4 linked regions of the Saccharomyces cerevisiae S288C genome follow. The gene in region 2 interacts genetically with the main gene of each other region. Each region holds a gene or a part of one and is shown on either strand. Other genes may lie near its edges.

Region 1 (6,029 bases), 290 kb from region 2:
ATGCCAAGAAAAAAGTCTGCCGCTAAAAGAGCTAGAGAACAAGCAAAAAAAGAAGCGGCCGTACCTGCAACGGATACTGCTACCATAAAAACTTCTGAAACCTCTGCGACGACAGTTAAGCCTGCAATCGAAGCAAGCAAATCGTACGTTCCTAGTGAAGATGAGGAAGAAGACGAAGAGGAAGAAGAGGAGGAAGATGATTACGGTGAATTGATTACTGATGAAGTGGAAAACGGTATTAATCAAGTGCTAGATGCCATCAAAAACAATAAGACGGACAAACTACTAGATCCTAAAGTCAAATTCTTCGAGGATCCCGAATCTGCTGCTGCCAAACTGGCCAATCGTGAGGGGAAGCATAAACCTATTTACCTAAAAGATTATCACCGTATGAACATACTTTCTGGTGATGCCTTAAAGGAGGATGACGAAGAATACGAACATGCAACTGTTGACGGAAAGCAATCTTTCGTCTCGCAACAACGTGAAGAGAAAACTCAGCTTTTAAATGAAATCAAGAGTGCCTTTAGCGATGAAGAAAATGAAGAGTCTAGCGGAGATGAAGACGATGGGTTTTTGAAGAAAAAGGAACCTTCTACGAAGAAGGAAGGAAAAAATTTACCGGATCCAACCGTAAATGAAGAAAATTTCTTGGAAGAATTTGTGAATCAACAGGCCTGGATTCCTAAGAAGGGGGACAAGGTGATTTCTCTTGACCTCAACAATAATGAAGAGGACGATGAAGAATTTGAAGATGCTGCAGAAAAATTTGAGAATGCCTACAATTTTAGGTACGAGGACCCAAACGCAGCTGAAATTATATCTTATGCACGTAGTCAAGCTACACTAAGAAGATCCGATGACTCTTCACGCAGAAGAAAAAGAGAGGAAAAAAGAAAAATTAAAGAGCAAATAAAAGCAGAGAAGGAGACAGCTCTTCAGAAAAAGAAGACTAAAAAATTGAATAAATTGACTGACATTTTAGAGCAACTAACAAAGGAATATGGTGCTGAAATTAATGCCGACATGGTGAAAAAAATCACTGACACCCTATTGAAGAACGATTTCAAAGAAGAAGAGTGGGATAACGTGGTAGCTGAATTATTTAATGAAGAATTTTATCAACAAGAGGGAAAGCCTACCTGGAACGAGGATGACGAAATAATGGGTGACTTTTATGCAGACGCCGATGGTGATGACCAAACAGAAGAAGGTGAAGTGGAAAAAGAACAAAAAGAAGAAGACGAGGAAGAAGGTCCAAAAAGAAAGAAGAGCAAGAAAGAAGAGAAACTGCAAAAGAAGAAAGAAAAGAGAAAGGTAAATGAATTAGTGGAAAATGCTTTGGAACAAAACAAACTAGCACTAATAGAGGAGGTTGAAAAAGAAGAAGAAGAAAGAAAGAGTAGAAGCCGTACAAAAGAGGAGCAAGATTTGAAGTTTCGTTACCGTGAAGTTTCTCCTGAGAGTTTCGGTTTGACCGCAAGAGAGATTTTCGCCGCCGATGATACTGATTTAAATGAATTTATTGGTTTGAAGAAATTTGCACCTTATCGTTCCAAGGAACTAAGAGCGAAGGATAAAAGGAAAGTGATGAAGGCAAGAAGATTAAGAGAGTGGAGGAAGAAAACTTTTAAGAACGAAAATGGGTTAGCTCCAGTCGAAGCAGAGGCAGGGGAGAAGGATGAGGACACCATACTGATACCTGTAGAGAAAGCCTCTAAAAGCAAACACAAGAGGGGGCACAGTCATAAACATAAAGGCCACCAGAAAAAGTAAACTAGGTGAAATATCGGCCCTGTATATTACGATACATAAGCTTACATAGTGATAATCTATCTCCGAATTTCCCTAAAAAAGAATGTCATTTTACGTATTAATATGTAATTTTATAATTTCAACATTTGTCATTTTTGTCCCTTTGAGTGGTCCATTTCAGGAAGTATGGAATCATCAACTGATATGGCCGTCAACGATCAATCAGTGAGTTTGTCATCAATGGACTCCCCTTCGCCTATACGGTCGGTGCCGGGTCCTACAATGAGCGGGATCCCGTTTGCGTTCATATCTAGAAAATTGTTTGTGGTGTGGCTTGATATAGCAGCTGTTGCTATCGCAGAAGTGTTGGAAGATGATCCGGGCACCATCGCTGGAACAGAAGGAATTGAAGCTGACGTGTTTGACGCTCCCTGCTGGGCGGGGACCCTTGGTGAAGGGCTGAAAAGATTATGCAGATAGTCTCCCATGTTGAAGTTGGGCGTCCTGAGTAAGTTAAAATTGGTACCGTTCAATTCTCTTGAAGGCGTGGTAGGTACGTTACTAGGTGGATGCAATGTGTTTGTGGTGGGCTTTCTTCTCTGCTGTGGCGATAGTGTCGCCTGGACACTACCGTTATTATTGCTCAAGTATAGTGATGGAGAATCCATGAGAGATTCGTCCGGAAAATTCGGTAACAGATTAGATTTGAAAGTGGACTGCGGAGAAGACGCTGAAGGTTTGATATGAGAGAATCTTACTGCATCGTTTGATGTGCTTGCTGTATTACCGTTCAAACTCAATTGCGACGCGTAATGATAAGAGCGTGGAGTAGTGGGCATCCTTACGGCCATCGGTGTTCCATGATGTGATGACTTATTATATGGACTTGTGGCTAAATACATTAAGAGATCAGCGCCCGCAGTGTTGTCGCTGTCCTGTGGAGCATCCTTAGAGCCTGCTGCCTTCTTCTTGATATTATTATTGTTATTGCTATGGTTACTGCTGTTGTTATTATTACGTTTTGGCGTCATGAAATTCTTATCATGGGGGCGCTGGTAGTGTGACGAAGCGTGTGGTAAGATTATAGGTGTAGCAGAAGCCCTCGGAGTAGATGGAGTGTCCTCCTTCCTAGGCTTGATCTGCTGTGAGCGGTCTTCGGCTTTTCGTTGGCGTGAACTTGGGGGAGTATTTGGCTTCTCTACAAATTTTACGGGCGATATAACAGTCATTTTATTTGTATCATCGTGGAGAGGCTTTTTCGCAGGCGATATGGCTTCCAAAAGAGTTTTGTGGTCCTCATCAACATCTTCGGCATCCTCTCCGCTTCTTTTCTTTGTTGTAGAGTCCTGTTTTCGTTTTGTTGATGGGACATTACTTAAACCAAGCTTTAATTGACGCGTCATCTGAGCCAACTCAGCTCTATGCAAAATCTTGGAGGCCAATTCTTGCTCTTTTTCAGGGGACATCTGGGGTTGAGACATTTCTTGTATGCACAATGGGAACACTGATTGAAAATAGTAACGCTCTACGTACTCCTTCTTTCGATGATATTTTTGGTTCCTTCTGCACTTCATAATTGTAATTTTTTTTTCTTGCATTTTCGCGTGATATCAAAATTATGAGAGGAAAGGTGAAAGAGCGTCATGTTGGCTTCAAGGGATCAGCGATACTAAAGCAGCACCGGTGCAACTGGAATATCAAGAGACTGAACATGATTCCGAGGACTAGAACACTACTGCAAAGTAAAATACCAATTACCAGGTACTTTGCCAGATGTTGGGCGCCTCGCGTACGCTACAACGTGTGCCGTACTCTACCCGCAGCAGCGTTGCATACCAATATCATCGCACATAATGAAGTGAAAAAGGACGATAAGAAGGTTCATTTGGGGTCTTTTAAGGTAGACAAGCCTAAGATGATGATAGCTTTCACCTGCAAGAAATGTAACACCCGATCTTCACACACAATGTCCAAGCAGGCGTACGAGAAAGGTACTGTCTTGATCTCTTGTCCGCACTGCAAAGTGAGACATTTGATAGCAGACCATCTGAAAATATTCCATGATCATCATGTTACCGTGGAACAGTTAATGAAAGCTAACGGAGAACAAGTTAGCCAAGACGTGGGCGACTTGGAGTTTGAAGACATCCCAGATTCGCTAAAGGACGTCCTGGGAAAATATGCCAAGAACAACTCAGAAAATGCATCCCAGCTCCCTCACCCTTCCCAGAAATGAATGAAGAGCTCATGCACAGGCATGTACATAGATAGATATATAACCGTTAAATAGCACGTTTTTCCAGAGACTGAGTCATGATTACTGCCAAAAACCCGCACATCACATATTTTTTTGCGATAACCAGCAGAAGATTTAGGACTAGAGTACATAAAGATGAGCCACTGCTAGATATGAAAAGTTGAACCGCATTTTCAAACGTTCAAACCAACCGAATCATGAAACGGTTGCAATTGTTTGGTAGATCAAAATATTTCTCGCTGGTCTCCAGTGCTGCGAAGGAGGAAGAAGAAGAGGAAGAGGGCTGTGCTGATGCCAAAAGCCTTCTACATAGTACGAGCCATGATATCAAATCGAGATCACTACGCTTCAACGATAAATCGTCCCTCATGTGTTTGCCAACAAAAGTTCTACTGTTAATACTGCGAACTTTGGACTTCAATACATTAGTAACACTATGCCAAGTCAATTCGAGGTTCTACAATTTGATTACGAATGAGTTCCTTTTCCAAAACGTTATTTTGGACTCAAAACTTTCGTTGTTAAAGTTCAATGCTTTGATACACTCCGAGTTCCACACGTCGAACATTGTCACACACAGCGGTGATTGTAGCACACAATCTAGATCACAAAATGCAAGGTTCCTCGTAAGATCCATCGAATTCAAAAATCCTCAGTCCCAAGACTCGTTGTTAAAATACAGTAAGTTCTATAATAAGAGTGGCCAAGATTCTATTATTGCTGGATCTTATAAACTCGATTCGTATGATAAAGACGTAAAAAAACTGAATAACATCAGACTAAACGATGAGACTCCCATCATAACTTCAGAACGAATCAAACTGCTTGATAAATTGGAAAGCAACTACTTCCATTATACTTATATTGAGCTAATGCTTGATATTATAGACTATCTACCGAACCTGACCAGAGTGATTCTGAGTGATGTGGAACCGAATTTTAAAATTCCTTTATGGTACTCTGTATTCAACGATGGATCTAGAGATTTTTTCAAGAAAATAATCAAGGGCCAGCAATCCATCACAAACGAAGATTTGAGGACTTTCCAACTATCCAAAAAATTTGTCAAAGAATACGAATCCAAGTATTATTCTCTGCCAAGGTTGAAAATACTGGAAATCAAAGCTAATAATAAAAGACAAAGAACCTTTAATCGTCAACGCCATCACCAAAAGCTCGTACTAAGACCGAGTTTATTCTGCTGTTTCGGCATAATTAATGAACTTAAACTAGAAAATGTAACGATAGACACCGAATCGCTAGATACTCCAATGGAATTCTTACCACTATTTCTAAAGAACGAAGATAATGAACTGTACAGTTTACAGTCTCCTATCACTGCACTTACTTTAGATTCATGTGATGTAGTTCCTGGAAATGGAATATTACGTTTGTTTCACTCTTACTTTAAAATGGTCAAACATCTATCCTTACTGAAGATTAACAGTAAATTCGACTTATTGTTATGCAGTTGTTTCCCATCGTTATCCAATCTAACAATTGATTGTAATAGCAAATGTTTCACTAACGAACAGGTAGTCGGCGAATCATATTATTTCCAACAGCGAAGTTTGGATACAGAAGATGATTTTGATGACTGCAATTCCATGACAGAAACATTATTTGAAGCGCCATCAGATTCGAAGATAATTACTCCTCCGCCGACATCTTCAGTTGTATTGTCCTTAAATCTGAACTATATTTCTAGAACTACAGGAAATGATGTTTCAAATAACCCATCACCAGACAATAACAAAAAGCCCGCCATGTTAACTGCGGCACAGCTACAAAATTTTCAACGACAAAGAATCCCTGAATTTCATTCTTTCTACCATTATTACCGCTTACTTTGGGAGAGACTTCCAAGTAAAAATATTTCTATTAACGTAATCAATATCCCCTTTACCAATGTGTATCCTTTATCCCCTCTATCGTTTTGGGAACATCTAGCAAGAACAATTACTAGTGTTGATGAGACAGATGAGGATGTTGGCGACGAGAACGATCAAGAAACATT
Region 2 (5,123 bases):
TTGTTCCAATTGTCTATGACGGTGGTTACTCTTCCAGTTTGATTGACTCCTTGAGTTCTGCCGTTCAAGGTTTGGTTGTTGTTTCTTCTGGTTCTACCAACTCAACCTCATCTACTATTGAAAGCACTGAAATCCCAGTCGTATATGCTCAAGCTAACACTCCATTAAACTTTATTGACAACAAAGATGTTCCAAAGAACGCTGTGGGTGCTGGTTACCTATCCCCAATTAAGGCCCAAATCTTGTTGTCCATTGCTGCCGTTAATGGTGTCACCTCCAAGTCCGCTCTGGAAAGCATTTTCCCATGAACTGATAGATATTAAATCTAGCGAAGCATAGAGATTCTTTTTTTACCAGTCATCATAACCATTATTTTACAAAATTTCCACGCAACAGCTTTTATTTTCGTTCGTAATAGGAACCATACTTCCCATTAAAGCAGTATGATTGTTTTATACACCTTTTTATTGTTATTTAAGACATACCCCAAATAATTAATTAATTAATTGATGAAAGAATCATATAAATTCTTGGCCATACATATTTTTTTATTATCTTTTGCTACATTGACCATAGGTGAATATCTTCCCGGGGTGACACTCCACTGAAGTGGGAAAAAAAGAAAAGTTTTAAAACATTGCTCACCTTAAGTCTCGAAGGTCTAGCATTCACTACCTGTAAGTGTCAAGACCCCACATGTATACATGGATACAATAAAGAAACAATGTCCGTATAATTTGTATACATTTTACTACAGATAAGGGATCTCACCCCCTTCTTTTGTGTCTAAGTGAAATCTTCTGATATATTTAGTGTTTTATAGCGTCCATGTTTTAAACTAGAACGGCAAAATAGTAGTTGTTGTAAACGCTTATTTTCGAGACATCAGGTAAAAAGGATAGTTAAATCTTACAATCAATGCATGTAGTGAGTGGCGTTTATCAATAGTTTTTAACAATTCCCATTTTGAAAGAAGCCCACAACAACCCTAGTAGTTCGTTAATATACGTTATGATGGTCAAGTGTCACAGTACGGAAAGCTTGCAAACAGCTCTTACATAGAGGAGTTGCTTCAAAATAAACGTCCTCTGGTGTCAAGTGTCTCATACAGCGACCACATGCGAAAGAAACTACTACAGATAAGCAAATACACAAATTATAATCGTGGATTCATCATCAGAATACGCCTGGCCCTGTAATCCTTTGGCTCACCAACATTCGATGGACACCTTTATATCTTCTAATAACAGTGAATAATAGACACAATACGAAGAAAAACCCAGCGGTAACCATGTAAACGGTACCACTTACGCCATAAGCTAAATAGATCAGAATGGTAGAGACTTTGACAAATAGCTCGAAAGCTTTAGCGAACATTAGTCTTATCCAATTTAAGTTGGGTTCATTGCCATCTCTACTTTTCATAATATGTTTTATCACAGGTGAAGAGTAAAATACAATGATGTTATGAAACTTTCCAAGCAACCCTAATTTACCAGTATCCTTATATGCTATTAATGTCGTGCCACCAGAACCAAATATCTTGGCAAATTTCCAGTATCCCACGATTTCGATTATAAAATCATTCTCTGAAAAGGTCATTGAATTGAACCCGCTCCTTAATATGTTGTATACGGAAAATGGGAATAAAATTAGCCCAATAAAGTAATCTAAAATGAATAAATTTCTAAGAAAAGTTCTGAGAGGGCTCTGCTGCCTTGCTGTGAATGGGGAATCGGCCGTATTGGCGTTGGTGGCTCTTATAGTGTCTGCATTGATTCCTCCATTTCCGTTTGTGGTTGCATCCATATTAGCTGCTCTATTTATATTTGAAGTAGAACTCATATTCCTCCTAAGGGAGTTAAATATTCCATCGATTGCTTGCTGTACATCCTGCTGTAGTTCTTGCTGAGATTGCTCGGTTACAGGTGAAGGCTCTCTACTATGCCTCGTTTCCGATTCTTCTAGAAATCGCTGAAACAGATAATCATCATTATCGTCTCTTTCTGTCCAATTACTGCGGCGATGATTTTGAGGCCTCGCCATTTTTTCTCACTAAATGCTTGTGAGGATGTATGCGTTTGATTCGGTGTCTCTTTAATCATATTCCCGAATCGACCCTATTTGAAGGTAGAGGGAGTTGTTTCCTCTCACTATTGTTATAAAAGATCATCAATGACGGAAACTAATATGCAATGAAAAAATGAGAAGTTTACATGAATATGAAGATTAACTGCACAGCAATGTTGTTGACCCTTGGTATTCGCACACACTAAGCCAACATAGGTTCGTTCAATTTTTAAAAAGAAGATGGTCCGGCCTCAGAATGTTCACTGGTTTATCGCTACAATTGTATTTTTCATCGGATTTGTACACGCTAATACAGAATCAATCTTATATAAGGTTCCTCACAACTTTCCCCTCAAAAAACCAAGAGACAGCTCTACTTATGCAAGAGATGTAAACTTGATATCTTCCATATCACTATCGGGAGAAGCAATGAGTCAGATCACTATCGAGGCCAATACCACTGACTTGGAGTTGCATAATACTACGTATATTGAACTGGCGGACTTACAGCGAGACGAAACATATCAGATTAAAGTGTGTTGGTCAGCAATACATCCAATTTCCATTAATAATCTCCAAACTATCACAATACCACGTTTCACTGAATTTCAGGGAACTAAGTCAGACTACGCGAGAATACTAGTGACTTTCCAGGTCTTGTCTGACTCGTATCCTAGTGAGCATGCCATGGTTCCAATACAAGTCTCATTAATCACCACTCGGCTAGGTATCCCCGTGGATATTTACCCAACATTAATCGTTATGGTGCTATTAGTAGCAGGGCTTGTTGTTACCCGGGCACCACACGTATTGAACGATCTTTTGCTGAAATTTTAGTATGGAAGCCTGAGCCCCCTTTGGCTGGATAGCTTGGCCTCATCACAACTAGAACGTAAAAAAGTCCATTAACCATCAAATGCTTCTCATTAAAGTGGGTATTTTTATCGAAAGAAAGGGACCTGAATATCTAACTCGCCGCTATGTCGAATGAAAACTTATCTCCCAATAGTAGTAACCCAGATTTAACTAAACTGAATAACGGCGAAAGCGGAACTATTGATACCAGCAAATTCTCGCCCAACGAAATGAAGCTATACAAAATGTACGGAAAGCTGCCATCAAAGAAAGATATTTTTAAGCATACCATGCAGAAAAGAAAATATTTCGACAGTGGTGATTACGCTTTGCAGAAAGCTGGCATTCAAAACAATGATCCAATAAACTATGGAAAGAATAACCTGCCATTAACAAATCCCAGCAAACTACGAGAAGATATAATAAAAAGAAGGATAAGCACTTGTCCGTCAACTGCCTCAACCGCTGGTGTAGTAGATAATGCGACGTTGATACAAAAGGAGGGAAGTATATCGAGTGGACCACCATCGTCTAATAACGGTACTATTGGAGGTGGTAGTACAAGTTCAACGCCAGTGGGGAACCACAGCTCTTCGTCGTCCAGTTTGTATACTGAATCACCCATTAGATAAATAGACAACCTGTACTTTTTTATATTTTTTTAGGGAAAGAGAAGGGTCTCTTATATTTAACGCTTATTATGTGATTTCTCGAAATGTCAAGTGTTACAGCCATATGGCTGACTGTGTTTACGTTAATTAGTTATATATAAACGATAAGCCATTCTGATGTTATCTTCTTGTACTTCTAATTAATAATATTTACTCGTCAGAATTTCGACTTTAATGAGAATATAGATATCTTCCTAGTTTTCCAAACATTAGAGAACCAAGGAAATAAAAATCCATGAAATATAAAAATTGGGAACCGTCGATAATATCTTTGTAGCAAGAGATACAACAACCCACCCCAATGCAGATGCAGCTCATTAACATGGATATTGAGCCGTCAAAAAACAACCACAGTATAATATTCAGAAGCCCCCATGCCCCTGCCGCCTGCAAAGAGGAGTTCCACTGTATTTTCCTGATCCCAAATGTGACTCCCAACATGGCATTGATACTTCTAATAACAGAGGTCAAACTGTCATGGTGGACAGAGCTCTTAACAACCTCTGTTTGAAAAATATTATCCAGAATTGGTACAACAGAACCAAATAACAGTCCTTCAACACCGTAGCCTAACCAGTTTGGCAGAACCCCATTGGATAGCCAGTTACAAAGTTTGACACCCAGTAGAAGGGGTCTCGATGCAAAATCTGGATGTAAGAGATGATTATCGTGCAAGTTTCTGGACAGTTCATGATATGCGAAACCGCTCAATGACAAAATTAATACAGCTTGCAGGTAATGAAGAATATTTTGACGAGTTTGTCTGGTTCTTGACGGAAAGTTTTCGTGAATGGATGATGCTGATAAAATCCTTTCCAAATTATTAGAAGATACTGTGTTCCTTGGCAGCGAGCCGCCAACCTTATGGGCCAAGTAAAAAGTCGAATCAATAGTTTGATCTCTACTATATTTGGTAGAATCTATAGAGACAGAGCGTTTCAATTCTTCGTAAATTTCGTTATCTTCCGATCTCACGACGTCATCATCATATAATGAATAAAGCTGCGGTTTAGTCAGAGAGCAGATTGATTCGGTGCTCTTCTTTGGATCCGGTTCTCCTCTATTGGCCATTCTGTATGCTGTTTTCTTTGAGAAATACTTTGTCGTTTATCTTCGTCCTTGTCTTCTTTTTGGTCCTTTGTGTTTGAGTGCTTTCCAAACTTTTTCTTTACCTTTTGCACGCCAACTACTATGCCCTTTATTGCAAATAAAATAGGTACTACAATAAGCCCTATCATCAATGTTGAGCTGTCAACTAGAAGTTTAAGGAAAAGAACATCTCGAAGTTTAGTAATTTCCTTGCTTTCATATTTTAAATGTCTAGCTAATTTCGTATCTACCCTTTATCTCATGCCGATAAAAAGAAAAGTTCCCCCCTCGTGGCCAGCGACGTTCGTATATACATAAAACTGCCTCACCCTCCTTTCGGTGGCAAAAGCATGTTCTACAAATGAGTATAAAGATGTAATAAGAGCTTGTACAAGCAAGGACTCGAGCTAGGGCGGAAGTGTGACAACAGTGAGCTAT
Region 3 (6,249 bases), on a different chromosome or scaffold from region 2:
TTTAACATATTTGCCATTAGTGACCTTGATTTCATTCCCAGGCCACTTTGGAGAAAAATCCAGGCGACGCAGCCGTACCCAATACTATATTGGCCTTTAATTAACCCTCCGTCTCTTGCAAAATTCGGAGCAAATCTTGCAATAACGATTAAAATAGCCAAACAGATGAAAAACCACTGGGATTTCAGAAATTCTGTTACTGAATGTGCCCAAATTTTTCGTATTAGAGAGTACTGAGTCTTCATTTGGCACTAAGTAGGTGTATTAAATGTGTGTCTTCCTTCTTTTTGCAAGTTATGTCAGAGTTGGGATATATCGTAGAAAAGGGTGCGAAGGTGATTCAGGTAGCATAGACGGTTTCAGGCAATAAAAAGCTATAAATCTCTCTTTATATAATTGAAGGTTAAAATTTGCTAGATTTTAAAGTGGTTCGGTTCTTTTTTATGCTTTCTTAGCTTCTGGCTGTTCGTTGGAGCTCAGACTTACGGGTAGACCAATGTCATCGAAATACTGTGGAAGATCAAGCTCGGAAGGAGAGCGAGGCTAAGTTCCGAGCTACTGAAAAAAATGGAAAAAACAAGTGCCTTAATTGAATGACTAGATGGGTGCTTGTTAACGAAGGCGTGCTGCTATTCATGAAGCTGTTGCATTGTACTGTACAGTAATGTTTCGAGCCGGATCATCAAAAAGATTCTTACGAAACACACTAATAGCAATTTCATGGGTTCCGGTACTTCTAACAATCAATAATAATGTGGTCCATATTGCGCAAGTTAAAGGTACCTCTATGCAGCCTACGCTGAACCCGCAAACGGAAACGCTGGCAACAGATTGGGTGCTGCTTTGGAAGTTTGGAGTCAAGAACCCAAGTAATTTATCTAGAGATGACATTATCCTTTTCAAAGCTCCTACAAACCCTCGGAAAGTTTACTGCAAAAGGGTTAAAGGTTTACCGTTTGATACCATTGACACGAAGTTTCCATACCCTAAACCTCAAGTGAACCTGCCCAGGGGACACATATGGGTCGAAGGGGACAATTATTTTCATTCGATTGATAGCAATACTTTTGGCCCCATTTCCAGTGGGTTGGTCATAGGGAAAGCTATAACAATTGTTTGGCCACCCTCCAGGTGGGGAACGGATCTCAAACTGAGTACCGGTAGAGACTGCATTAGCAAAAGAGCCATTTTAGAATGAAAATCAGCTTATTTTTATGAATTTAGAAGTGACCCCGGTATTCAAATGCAAATTTTTTATATTATGTGATTAATCTAATGCAATAAATATAGATGATTGTGATTTATGTATTGATGTTGTTGCCGTTCGGTTCCTGAATATATACTTCTTTTTTTCATAATACTTCATGCACATGTAGTATCATTTTTTATCTTCAGTCTCTAGAGAAGGGAATAACGATCTTCTTGCGGGCCTGGGTAAATCTTCTCGGTCGGAACCAACGAAAGTAAAATCTCCGTCTTGCTCTTCATCTCCACTTACTTGCTGATGATTGCCTCTCTCATCTTCGAAACTAAAATATGATGGGGTATCCAGTCCGTCCATTAGTAGCATATGTGAAGTGCTTAGGTTACTGTTACTACTCATAGACGACTTACTTAAGATGGGGAAGAAATTTTCGTCGCCTGTACTCTCACTTGAATTTAATGATGAACCACTAGAGACTCTTCTGTGGTTTAATGACAGCTTCGGAGGCGGCTCAAACCTGAACGATAGTGCAGAAGATGCCATTGTTGTTGAAGATTGATGGCTATCTCTATAAAAGAAGTTAGGATTTGAAGGGGAAGCTAGTTTTCTAAAAGAATTATTTTTAGTAGCAAATCTTTTAGATTCTCTCCTAAACTTATCCATTTCTTGTTCACAATTCAGCAAATTTTCTTGTGAGTTCATTCCCACGTACTGACGTGGATAACATAGTTCAGGAAAATTGTCAAAAACAGCTTTGTATCCGCCATCCAATATCAATATGTCGGGATAGAATAATTTGGGATAATGATCCTGATTTATTATACGATCACAATTTCTCAAATGAGAGGCCAATGAAGGTCCCCGGTGGGAACTAAATTCGCAATGGATAATTAAAAGAGTTGGTAGAGTGTTGTTGTTGCTAGTATCGCTATGCAAAACTTTATGGATAAATTCGTACTCTAACTCATCTCTCGAGTGTATGTTAACGGAGTTTATTATGTGGCCGCCAGTATATTCGTATTCAAACCGACAATCTATAATACGACATGAATTATAAAATGACTCGCACATATTATTCTGCAGAATATTTTTCAACGTTTCTGGAGAAATTCGAGGGAAAAAGTCATTTGAGTTACGATCGTCATAATAATATGGTATCTGTGTTTTGGCTAGGCATGATTCAAAACATTTCACCCCTACCGAATTAGGAGCTAGTGGACTGGATGACGCAGACGTGAAGTTCAAAGTATTCTGAGTAATGTTAGAAAATTTCTGTGAACTTTTTCTCGATGACCTCGGAATTTTCCCATCTTGCCGTTGCACCCTCCTGCTTGAATTGCTACTGCTATTCATGCTTGGCTTTCTCGACAAGGACCTTGACCTTGAAAAAGAGCTCGACCTCTGGGGACTGCCAGGATACTTGATTCTACTTAAAAGATCATTATCCCTATTATTGGTCAAAGATCTTCTTGATGAGTTTCTTGTTGGACTTTGTAAGGTTTGAGAAGCAAAATGCATGCTTAAGACTATATCATCATTTTCATTTTCATTTTCATCTAACTCATCGCGATGGCCAAGCTGCTTTATATTCGGTGAAGGACCATCAATTTCCTTACTCCTGTGATTTGTTAACAATGGAGATTTATCAAAGGCAAGATTCTCTTTATTGATTAAATCATCGTCGACATTCGAATGTTTGCTTTTTGACTTAAAGAAGGTCTGAACATTTCTAAATATGTTCTTCTTCTTACCAAAGGGACTTTTCAAGGAAATTTTTTGGAAACTAAGAACGTCTTCATTGGCACATTCATCTTCAGTTCCATGAAATATATTGTTCATGGTTTCTTCACCCTCGCTGACTTCAATCCTGGTTTGTCCACTGCTCTGTTTATCTTTTGTCTCCTTTCAAGTTAACTCTCTTTTCTTTGTTTTCGCTTGTAACTTTAAGTTTTCTGATATACGGCATCGAAACAGGGAAAAAACAGATAAAGCATAAAAAAGAAGGAAATAACAGAGTGTAACTGTTGGGGAAATATCATAATGAGAATATTTAAACGCCGGAACAATGTATCAAAAAGGGCTTTACCGCTAATAAGTGGAGTATCTATGCTTTTTTGACGTATACAATGGACAGAAAAAGCGCCATATAAAACATTGAAGCCCCTCTTCATCCTTAGTCCTGAAAATGAGGCCTAGGAAATTAAGTATTCGGCAAAGATACATAATACAGTTCTAAAAGTAGCAAACTGGTAGATACTATTTGTGGCGCAGTTAGCTACCCCAAAATAAAAACGGTAATCTTCTCCCATTAGGGGCACCCCTCTTGCTTTTGTACGATGTGGTATCTTCGATTTTCAAACTGACAGGCATATTGCACAGCATAATGCGCACGGAATTCATTAAACTGTACGGATATATATATGATATTACGGTGCCATATGATATTATACAATATTATACTGTACTGTACTATATTATATTATATTGTATTAATTATATTATACTATACCCTATCATACCAAATATTTTGGCTATATTAATTTTTATCTACGTGTATCTAAGTTGTTACAGGCGGGGGAACTGAATTCCTTCAAAATGTGAAGGTACCGGAAAAATGGCAAAGAATCATGATAATAATAACAATAAGCCGTAAGCTTCATAAGTCATTGAACAGAATTATCTTATGAAGAAAGATCTATCGAATTAAAAAAATGGGGTCTATTAAATGTCTCCATGTTTTTTATGAGTCTTGATGTGTTGCGACAAATTATCGCTTCTACTAAATTTCTTATCGCATATGTGACAAGCAAATGGTCGTTCGTTAGAGTGAACAGATCTCACATGCCTTTTCAAATGTTCGCTGCGCTTAAAGCTCTTGGGACAAATGTGACAGTGGAACGGTTTCTCCTCGAGTTCCTTTGTTGATTCTATTACGACACTTGATCTTCTGGACGGTGTCATTGATTTTCTCCTGTAACTTGGCCTTCTTTCCTTCGTAACCCCAGCACCATTGCCAGTTGAGTTGACACTACTACTGCTTATATTATTTTGTTGATTTGTAAGCGGCACCGTACCCATCAAAGGCACAGCAGACTTCCGCCTCCGAAGGGAAGAACCGATTTTAGAGTTCATGGTATGGTGACCCTGCTGTGGGAAATGGTGATAGAAATGATTTGTTGCAAGAGACGTGGAGGATGATGATGCAGGCGATAATGGAGCCATATTCATTTGAGTGATGGAAAGATCGAAATTTGGAGTAGAATTAGCATTTTGTTCACCTTCCTCTGTCAAAAATGGCATATCATTACTCAAGCCTGTAGTCGCCACTTTCGCAATAACGGACGCATTGTCTGAAAGAATCATAGACGGTTTGATAAATTGTTGAGATGAACTCAAATTTGAATTCGGCAGCATATCGTTCTTGGGGTCTTCATCCTGCTTATTAACCAGGTCGTAGCTTAGTGAATCATCGATTATGGGTAAAGAAGCTCTTTGCCTTCTTGAATAAAGATCGCTGTTGAAGGATTTCATGTTAGTGCTACTGTTATTATGTGACGAGGTGAGCTGCTTGTGTTGAACTCGGTTTAGCTGTTGCTGTAATTGCTGACTTGGATTTATCTTTGTCATAGCATTGGCATCAAAAGAACTTGGGCAAGCAGATTTGTTCTTGCCAGAAGTGGATGTGCCCAAATTATCGTTGAAGTTCATATTATATTCGTTAAGAATCTGTGTCAACTCATTGTCTATGGTAGCGTCATTGTTTTTCGGGTTGCCAGCAATATTTGAGTCTGCATTTGCGTTCATAGTAGTGGTATTCGGACTTGCATTGGAACTTGAGGTAGAATTAGTAGTGATATTGAGATTTGTATTTCTATTGCTTGGATTAATTTTCGGATGGTTCCAAAGGTCCAAAGAGTGAGAAATAGAATTCCTCGAATTTGTCATTGACGGAAATTGGTTTGTTATAACGTCGCTAAATCTTCGGCGTGATAAATTAGTGTCATCATCATCATCATTCAATAAGAGATCACTAGAAACGTAATCATCTAGCATGGAGTCTATGTTCAGTGAATTAAAATAACTGGAATTTAAATTACCCGTAGAATTGGAGTTTGAATTAGAAATGGAGTTAGAATATGAATTTGTATCTGAGTTCAATTGATTTCTTAGTTTTTCGTTCAAATTGTTTGGGTTAGTGTCAATGAAAAGATTCGAATTAGCACCATTAGGTAAGGACAGACGATTATCTTTAATGGACGTATGTTGTTGGGCTCGAGGAGATATAAGAGTTTCATTACCATTTGAAGTTTGAGGCGATAAATTAGTTTCGTTACTTGCTGTATTTATGGGAGGATTTATAGTCGGATTTTGAGGTACCGATGAAGGTGACGGTGATTGTAACGGATTGTTCATGTTGTACAAAATGTCGTTCATAGGATAAGGTGAAGTAAGAGTTGTGTATTGATTTGCCCCAGAGCCACTAGCATTATTAGTACTCTTAATTTCACTATCATTTTCAATAGTTCTTGCATCGCGATTTTTGTTGCTATCAGCTTTCAAATGCAAGCTGTTATCGGTAGTGGATGGTATCGTTTCCGTTACGGGCAGTGGAGAGTCGAAAGATAGTGGAGGAAGCCCCAAATTCAGTGAAGTTTCTTGATTTTGAATGTCATTGAGATCCGCACTATCTAAGACAGTGTTTTTGATATCTAGAGAATACGGGATAACATCGTTGTTAATATTATTTGGGTTATTATTCTCCACGTATTGTATACTACTCATGCTTTCTATGGGGAATAAAATATCTTCGCTATTGAAATCATGGTCGACCGTCATTTTAGATCTAGTTCTTCTATGAGCAATAAAAGTTGAAAAAAGAAAGAAAAAATAAAGCAAATAAAACCAAAGAAAAAAAGGTAGCCTCTTGGCGTATGAAATACCTTGCTACTACTGTTGTGATCTTCCCGAAAAATATGAGGAAGATACCGATAAAGTAAGGAAGAAAAAAGCAATATCTTTTTTTTTTTGAACTTTTCGTATTACAG
Region 4 (6,093 bases), on a different chromosome or scaffold from region 2:
ACCAAAACGGAACCAACTAGTAGCAGCTTCTTCTCCACAGCAACTGCAACAACAAAAACAACAAGAGCCATTGATTCAAAACAGGACAGGCAATCAATCAATGACAGACAAGTATAGTAAACTAAACGAGCTACTAGCCACAGGAACAGGTATTGATACATTCGGAAATGTAGGGGAGGCTCGTATTCCTGCCCAACATACGAAGACAGGAACATTCATCAATTCTCAAGGAACAGGATATAGGCAAGTATCGGATGATCCAAACCACAATCCGTTTTTGAACAGTCAGTATACAGGTTTACCAAGCACTAGCGTCGTACCAACACAAACAGGCTATGGCTTTGGTAACCAGTCTCAACAGCAGTCTCAAAATAATGGCTCAAATAACCGGGGATATACTCTAATTGATTTATGAAGTGATTCTGTCATTCCAGTCCGCATTTCTAATCAGATGAGCATTTTCTCGCATCGCATAATATATATGGACTAAGTAATTTAATCATTTCACAGCGCGTTTTGATGCAAGCGTTTAGTATAAAATGAACTGTATATTTGTATATGTGAGCGCACGATCGCTCCAAAAACTACTTTAGTAAACTAACGTAGTTCAGGACGACTGAAAGAAAATATAGTGCTTTAAATTTATCAGACAACCAGGAATGTCTTATGTCTTTACATGGATGTAATGTAAGTTGAATACTTTTACATATCCATCAGAAGAAGCCCTACGATACGCTCTAAATCTTGATGCGATAACTCTAAGGGACTTTTATCGCCACGTTCTCCGTTAATGTCCTTGTGAGATTGCAAGGACCGCAGCACCGCCTCATCAATGAATATATCCAAATATTTCTGTATCATTGGTACTACTTCATCGGCAATTTTCATATCATTACCACCTTCATTTTGGCTGAGGATTTTTATTAACGCTTCTTTAGATAACATCACCACAATTACTGTGCTCTGTACTCATGTCCTTTCTAAGTGCAATAATGTAAATTCTAACACGCTTTTATGTATGATTGATTTTTGATATTTTGGCCCGAAAGATAATTCTGGTCTCCCGGAAACATGAAGATGCAGCAAAGTAAAAAATAATAGGTAAAAATAATAAAAATACATGTATCTTTTTGGTTGGTTAATTTATCTAAACAGTTTTATATATATATGTATATATATATATATATATACACAGTATTAATATTCTTTCCTTGAGATTACTCTCTATAAAAAAAAAAAAAAAAAAGCTTTTAAAAAAAAAAAAACTCAAAAAAAGAAAGAATATTCAAAGAAAGTTTCATCTTGTCAGTTGAAATGAATAGTTTATTGTGGAAATTATAACAATAAAAGTTAGCTAAAAGCGAAAGTGTCGATGAAACTGGGCAAGTGCACTTGAGCTCTTGATATGGACGGTAGTATTGGTTACAACAATGACTGGTAAAAGAATGAAGTGGTTTGAGATAATTTTAGAGAAACAAAAAGAAATAACAAAGTGATAGTAATAAAAACGGTGCGCAAATGAGGATAAAAAAATCAGCACAGAAACTAGAGAAAACGGATAAAAAAATAAAAAAGCAGAGACAAAAATTAAATTACGACTGATTCTTGTTCAAAATCAATAGTAAAAGTATGGTTACAAAGTAATGTAATTCACAATGGAGATTTGAAAAAAGATAAAAATAATCGACGATTAGATCACAAAAAAAGCGTATCTCACCACAGTAGTTATTTTTTCTTAGATATTCTTTAATACTGGGGTTGTGACTGACCAGGTGGCATCGCCATGAAATGTTCCTGCTGTGGAGGATACCCCTGCTGCGATGGCATTTGCGGTGGAGGATACGCCTGTTGTTGCTGATGCGAAGGAGGAACCATGAATTGTGGATGATGTTGCTGCGGAGGAATAGCAAATTGTTGCTGAGATGGTAATTGTTGCTGAGGTATCGCTTGTTGATGATAGCTCTGTTGCTCTATCGGGAATGGGACAGGTACCGTTTCGTCATTTTCAGCCACATACAATGACTTATCGATAGTGGCCGGAATAGCCGCAATTTCAGTGCCCAGTTCTTGTTCGATTTTATAAAGGTTAAACCGATCATTCCAGTTAATCAAATTGATTGCTAAACCCAAGTGGCCAAACCTACCGGATCTACCAATACGATGTAAATATGTTTCTGCCGTTTTGGGGAAATCGAAATTGATAACGACATTAACGGCTTGAATATCGATACCACGGGTCAATAAATCGGAGCAGACCAATGTACGAACCTTACCTTGACGAAATTCGTGGAAAACTTTATTTCTTTCTTGTTGCTTCATTCTTGCATGAGAGTAATAACAGGAATAGCCTAAATCAGTGATTTTCTTGGCTAGTAATTCGACACGGTTAGTAGAATTACAAAAAATAATGGCTTGATTAATTTGAAGCTTAGAGAATAAAGTATTTAAACAATGTAGCTTTTGTCTTTCTTCAACAAAGGCGTAGTATTGAGTAATACCCTTTAGAGTCAATTCTTCCATCAAATTAATTTCATAAGGCTTATGCAGATGTTTAACCATGAATTCCTTAACCGTTAGTGGGAAAGTAGCGCTAAATAATAAAGATTGGTGAGTTGGAGGTAAGAAGGATAAGATTTGTTCAATTATTGTCTTGAAGTCACGAGATAACATTTTATCGGCTTCGTCCATGATGAATAATGAACAATCAGACAGATCTGCTACTTTTCTCGAAGCTAAATCCAACACTCTACCAGGAGTACCAACCAAAATATGGACTGTTTCATTTAATCTTAGAATATCGTCTCTCAAATTGGTACCACCAGTGGTCACCATACATGAAATACCACAGTGTTTTCCCAATGTACGGACGACTTGGGAAGTTTGCAGAGCTAACTCTCTTGTGGGAACCATGATCAAAGCCTGAATTTTATTCAACTTTGGTTTGACTTTCTCTAACGTAGGAATAACAAATGCGGCTGTCTTACCTGTACCATTCTTTGCTCTGGCCAATATGTCTCTACCAGTTATTGCTACCGGAATAGCCTCTTCTTGAATAGGGGATGGTTTTTCAAAACCGGCTTCAAAAATACCCATTAACAGCTCTCTTTTCAAATAAAAATCTTCAAAAGTATTACCCTTTGTATTTAAGACATCATCTGTCTGTGGTCTGGTATCCTTCTTGGGAATATTCAATGCAGTTTTCCAGTCCCGATCGAGATCCGTATTACTGTTATTATTAGTGTTGAAGTTATTATTGATGGAACCCATTACTACTATTTTCTTTCTTGTCGTATTTTAGGCCTGGGATAAGTTATTATGCGAATGGCGATGCGGTTATGAAGAAATAAAAGGGCTAAAAGTAAGAATTTTCTGCGTCTATCTTTCTATTAGGAATAAAATATGACTATATTTACTATTATTGTTGTTTTGTCGTACAATCCTTTATGAATGAAAATATTAAGCTTGTGGTCTTAAAAGAATGTGGATGAAACAAAACTGAATCCAATGATGAGAAATAAATGTACAATCAGATAATAAACACTTTTATTGATGATTGTCTTTTCTTGCAAACCCCAATGTTACAATCGCCCATTAGTTCTAAGATTGTGTTGTCCTTTTTCTTACGAAATTTTTTTCCCTCCCTTTTTTGATCACTGTCCTCGTTATAAGTGATTCGTGGGGTAACGGCGATATCATACTATTATTGGCCCATCTGATGGATTAGAAGACCTACAGGTTAATGTGAAGCGACACTAATGATAAGAAAACTGCATCGGATCATATCTGTTTTTGCAGCGTGGTATATTGGTTGTTGGTCATGTTTCAACGAAAGACTTTACAGAGAAGGAACTTGAAAGGGCTCAATCTTAACCTGCACCCAGATGTGGGCAATAATGGCCAATTGCAGGAAAAGACAGAGACTCACCAGGGACAATCTCGAATAGAAGGCCACGTGATGTCTAACATTAATGCAATACAGAATAATAGCAACCTGTTTTTGCGAAGAGGCATAAAAAAAAAACTGACGTTGGATGCGTTTGGTGATGACCAAGCTATATCGAAACCAAACACTGTGGTAATACAGCAACCGCAAAATGAACCTGTTTTAGTTCTGTCTTCTCTATCACAATCCCCGTGTGTATCATCATCATCATCTTTGTCCACGCCATGCATTATAGATGCGTACAGTAATAATTTCGGATTATCGCCATCATCCACGAATTCTACTCCCTCTACGATTCAGGGATTGTCCAATATTGCAACACCAGTTGAAAACGAACATTCGATATCACTACCACCTTTGGAGGAAAGCCTATCGCCAGCCGCAGCAGATCTGAAAGATACGTTGTCGGGAACTTCAAATGGTAATTATATACAACTCCAGGACTTGGTTCAGTTGGGGAAAATTGGTGCTGGAAATTCTGGAACTGTGGTGAAGGCACTACATGTTCCTGATTCCAAAATAGTTGCCAAAAAAACCATTCCTGTGGAACAGAATAACAGTACAATCATCAACCAATTAGTTAGGGAATTATCTATCGTCAAAAACGTTAAGCCCCATGAAAACATTATCACCTTCTATGGAGCTTATTATAACCAGCATATAAATAATGAAATCATAATTTTAATGGAATACTCTGATTGTGGTTCTTTAGATAAAATACTGTCCGTTTATAAAAGGTTTGTTCAAAGAGGGACTGTTTCGAGTAAGAAAACCTGGTTCAACGAATTAACAATATCAAAAATAGCGTATGGCGTACTAAATGGCTTGGATCATTTGTACCGACAATATAAGATCATTCATCGTGATATCAAGCCTTCCAATGTTCTGATTAATAGTAAGGGGCAGATTAAGTTATGTGATTTTGGAGTTTCCAAAAAACTAATAAATTCTATCGCTGATACATTTGTTGGAACGTCCACTTATATGTCACCAGAGAGGATACAAGGAAACGTTTATTCTATCAAAGGGGACGTTTGGTCATTGGGCTTAATGATCATCGAGCTGGTAACTGGAGAGTTTCCCCTAGGTGGGCATAACGATACACCTGATGGCATATTGGATTTGCTGCAACGTATTGTCAACGAGCCTTCACCAAGATTACCCAAAGACCGTATCTATTCCAAGGAAATGACAGATTTTGTCAATAGGTGTTGTATTAAGAATGAAAGGGAAAGGTCATCGATTCATGAATTGCTACATCATGATCTTATAATGAAATACGTATCACCGTCTAAAGATGATAAATTTAGACATTGGTGTAGAAAAATAAAATCTAAAATAAAGGAAGACAAGAGAATTAAAAGAGAAGCCTTGGACCGTGCCAAGTTAGAAAAGAAACAATCGGAAAGATCAACCCATTGAATGCATGCGATAACATTAGTTAGGAACATATTGCACTTTTTTTCACATCCCTTTCTCAAAGCTATATTCATATATATATAGACTCTCCTGATTATGTAAATCACAAACCAATTTTCTAATGTAACAATATTTTTAAAAATAATCATCAAAGTAGCACTTTATGTACAGAAAATTTCACGATTGAGAGAAGCTTGCGAATAATACTAGTTAGCCTGTGTTTCACCATCGTTACTTAATTTCTTATAGTTCTTATATTCTTTATTTTTATGCCACAACCAACCTTCGGTTCCTCTAACGAAACCGAAGGCGATTAATAACCCACCGAAGCTACGTAAAGTTACTTTCCACCATTGTGGGTTTCTTTTTTCAAATTCAGTCAGAGAAATGCCTCTTTTGGCTTCTTTTTTACCATACTTGAATGGTTTCCCAGATGCCAAGTATGAGCCAAATCCAACAGAAAACATAGTGCTCATGACTTGACAAGGAACGCAATCCATAGTCTCTTCTTTTTCCAGCTCCCTTTGTGGTGGAGGGTTGAACACTGCCAAAATATTACTCATTGTTTTTCACCACTTGCTGTTTCTCTCTAAGCGGTGTTTTGTTTCCTACTTGGTGGCACACAATGACTGTACTCGCTTTATATGCTCGTACCTTTTTTCAAAAGCCCATCGTTAATTTTTCACCCGAGGACCCCATATTACGCGTTTTTTGTTAATGTTCAATTTCTG

The links.
Region 1: of IGO1 (region 2) and STB1, changing one suppresses a phenotype caused by changing the other (phenotypic suppression), as found in Saccharomyces cerevisiae (one study listed by BioGRID).
Region 3: mutations in IGO1 (region 2) and MIH1 impair growth when combined (synthetic growth defect), as found in Saccharomyces cerevisiae (one study listed by BioGRID).
Region 4: of IGO1 (region 2) and DHH1, changing one suppresses a phenotype caused by changing the other (phenotypic suppression), as found in Saccharomyces cerevisiae (2 studies listed by BioGRID).

Annotation. Positions count from the first base shown.
Region 1 is NC_001146.8:49,869-55,897, reverse strand, and holds STB1 (Stb1p), read right to left. Parts: upstream 3,237-6,029; coding exon 1,974-3,236; downstream 1-1,973. Other genes in the region: KRI1 (Kri1p), read left to right, coding at 1-1,776; ZIM17 (Zim17p), read left to right, coding at 3,467-3,991; putative SCF ubiquitin ligase complex subunit SKP2, read left to right, coding at 4,210-6,029. UniProt on the Saccharomyces cerevisiae protein: Involved in the regulation and timing of MBF-dependent transcription in late G1 of the cell cycle.
Region 2 is NC_001146.8:337,302-342,424, forward strand, and holds IGO1 (phosphatase regulator), read left to right. Parts: upstream 1-3,050; coding exon 3,051-3,557; downstream 3,558-5,123. Other genes in the region: YGP1 (Ygp1p), read left to right, coding at 1-308; ASI2 (Asi2p), read right to left, coding at 1,177-2,046; PGA1 (Pga1p), read left to right, coding at 2,311-2,907; NSG2 (Nsg2p), read right to left, coding at 3,768-4,667; YNL155C-A (uncharacterized protein), read right to left, coding at 4,610-4,834. UniProt on the Saccharomyces cerevisiae protein: Required for TORC1 to properly control gene expression and chronological life span. Plays an essential role in initiation of the G0 program by preventing the degradation of specific nutrient-regulated mRNAs via the 5'-3' mRNA decay pathway.
Region 3 is NC_001145.3:340,478-346,726, forward strand, and holds MIH1 (putative tyrosine protein phosphatase MIH1), read right to left. Parts: upstream 3,044-6,249; coding exon 1,379-3,043; downstream 1-1,378. Other genes in the region: RCH1 (Rch1p), read right to left, coding at 1-245; IMP2 (endopeptidase catalytic subunit), read left to right, coding at 665-1,198; stress-responsive transcriptional activator MSN2, read right to left, coding at 3,926-6,040.
Region 4 is NC_001136.10:168,664-174,756, forward strand, and holds DHH1 (DExD/H-box ATP-dependent RNA helicase DHH1), read right to left. Parts: upstream 3,268-6,093; coding exon 1,747-3,267; downstream 1-1,746. Other genes in the region: ENT1 (epsin), read left to right, coding at 1-415; MHF2 (Mhf2p), read right to left, coding at 703-945; YDL159W-A (uncharacterized protein), read left to right, coding at 3,519-3,650; mitogen-activated protein kinase kinase STE7, read left to right, coding at 3,818-5,365; DMO2 (Dmo2p), read right to left, coding at 5,569-5,925. UniProt on the Saccharomyces cerevisiae protein: ATP-dependent RNA helicase involved in mRNA turnover, and more specifically in mRNA decapping by activating the decapping enzyme DCP1.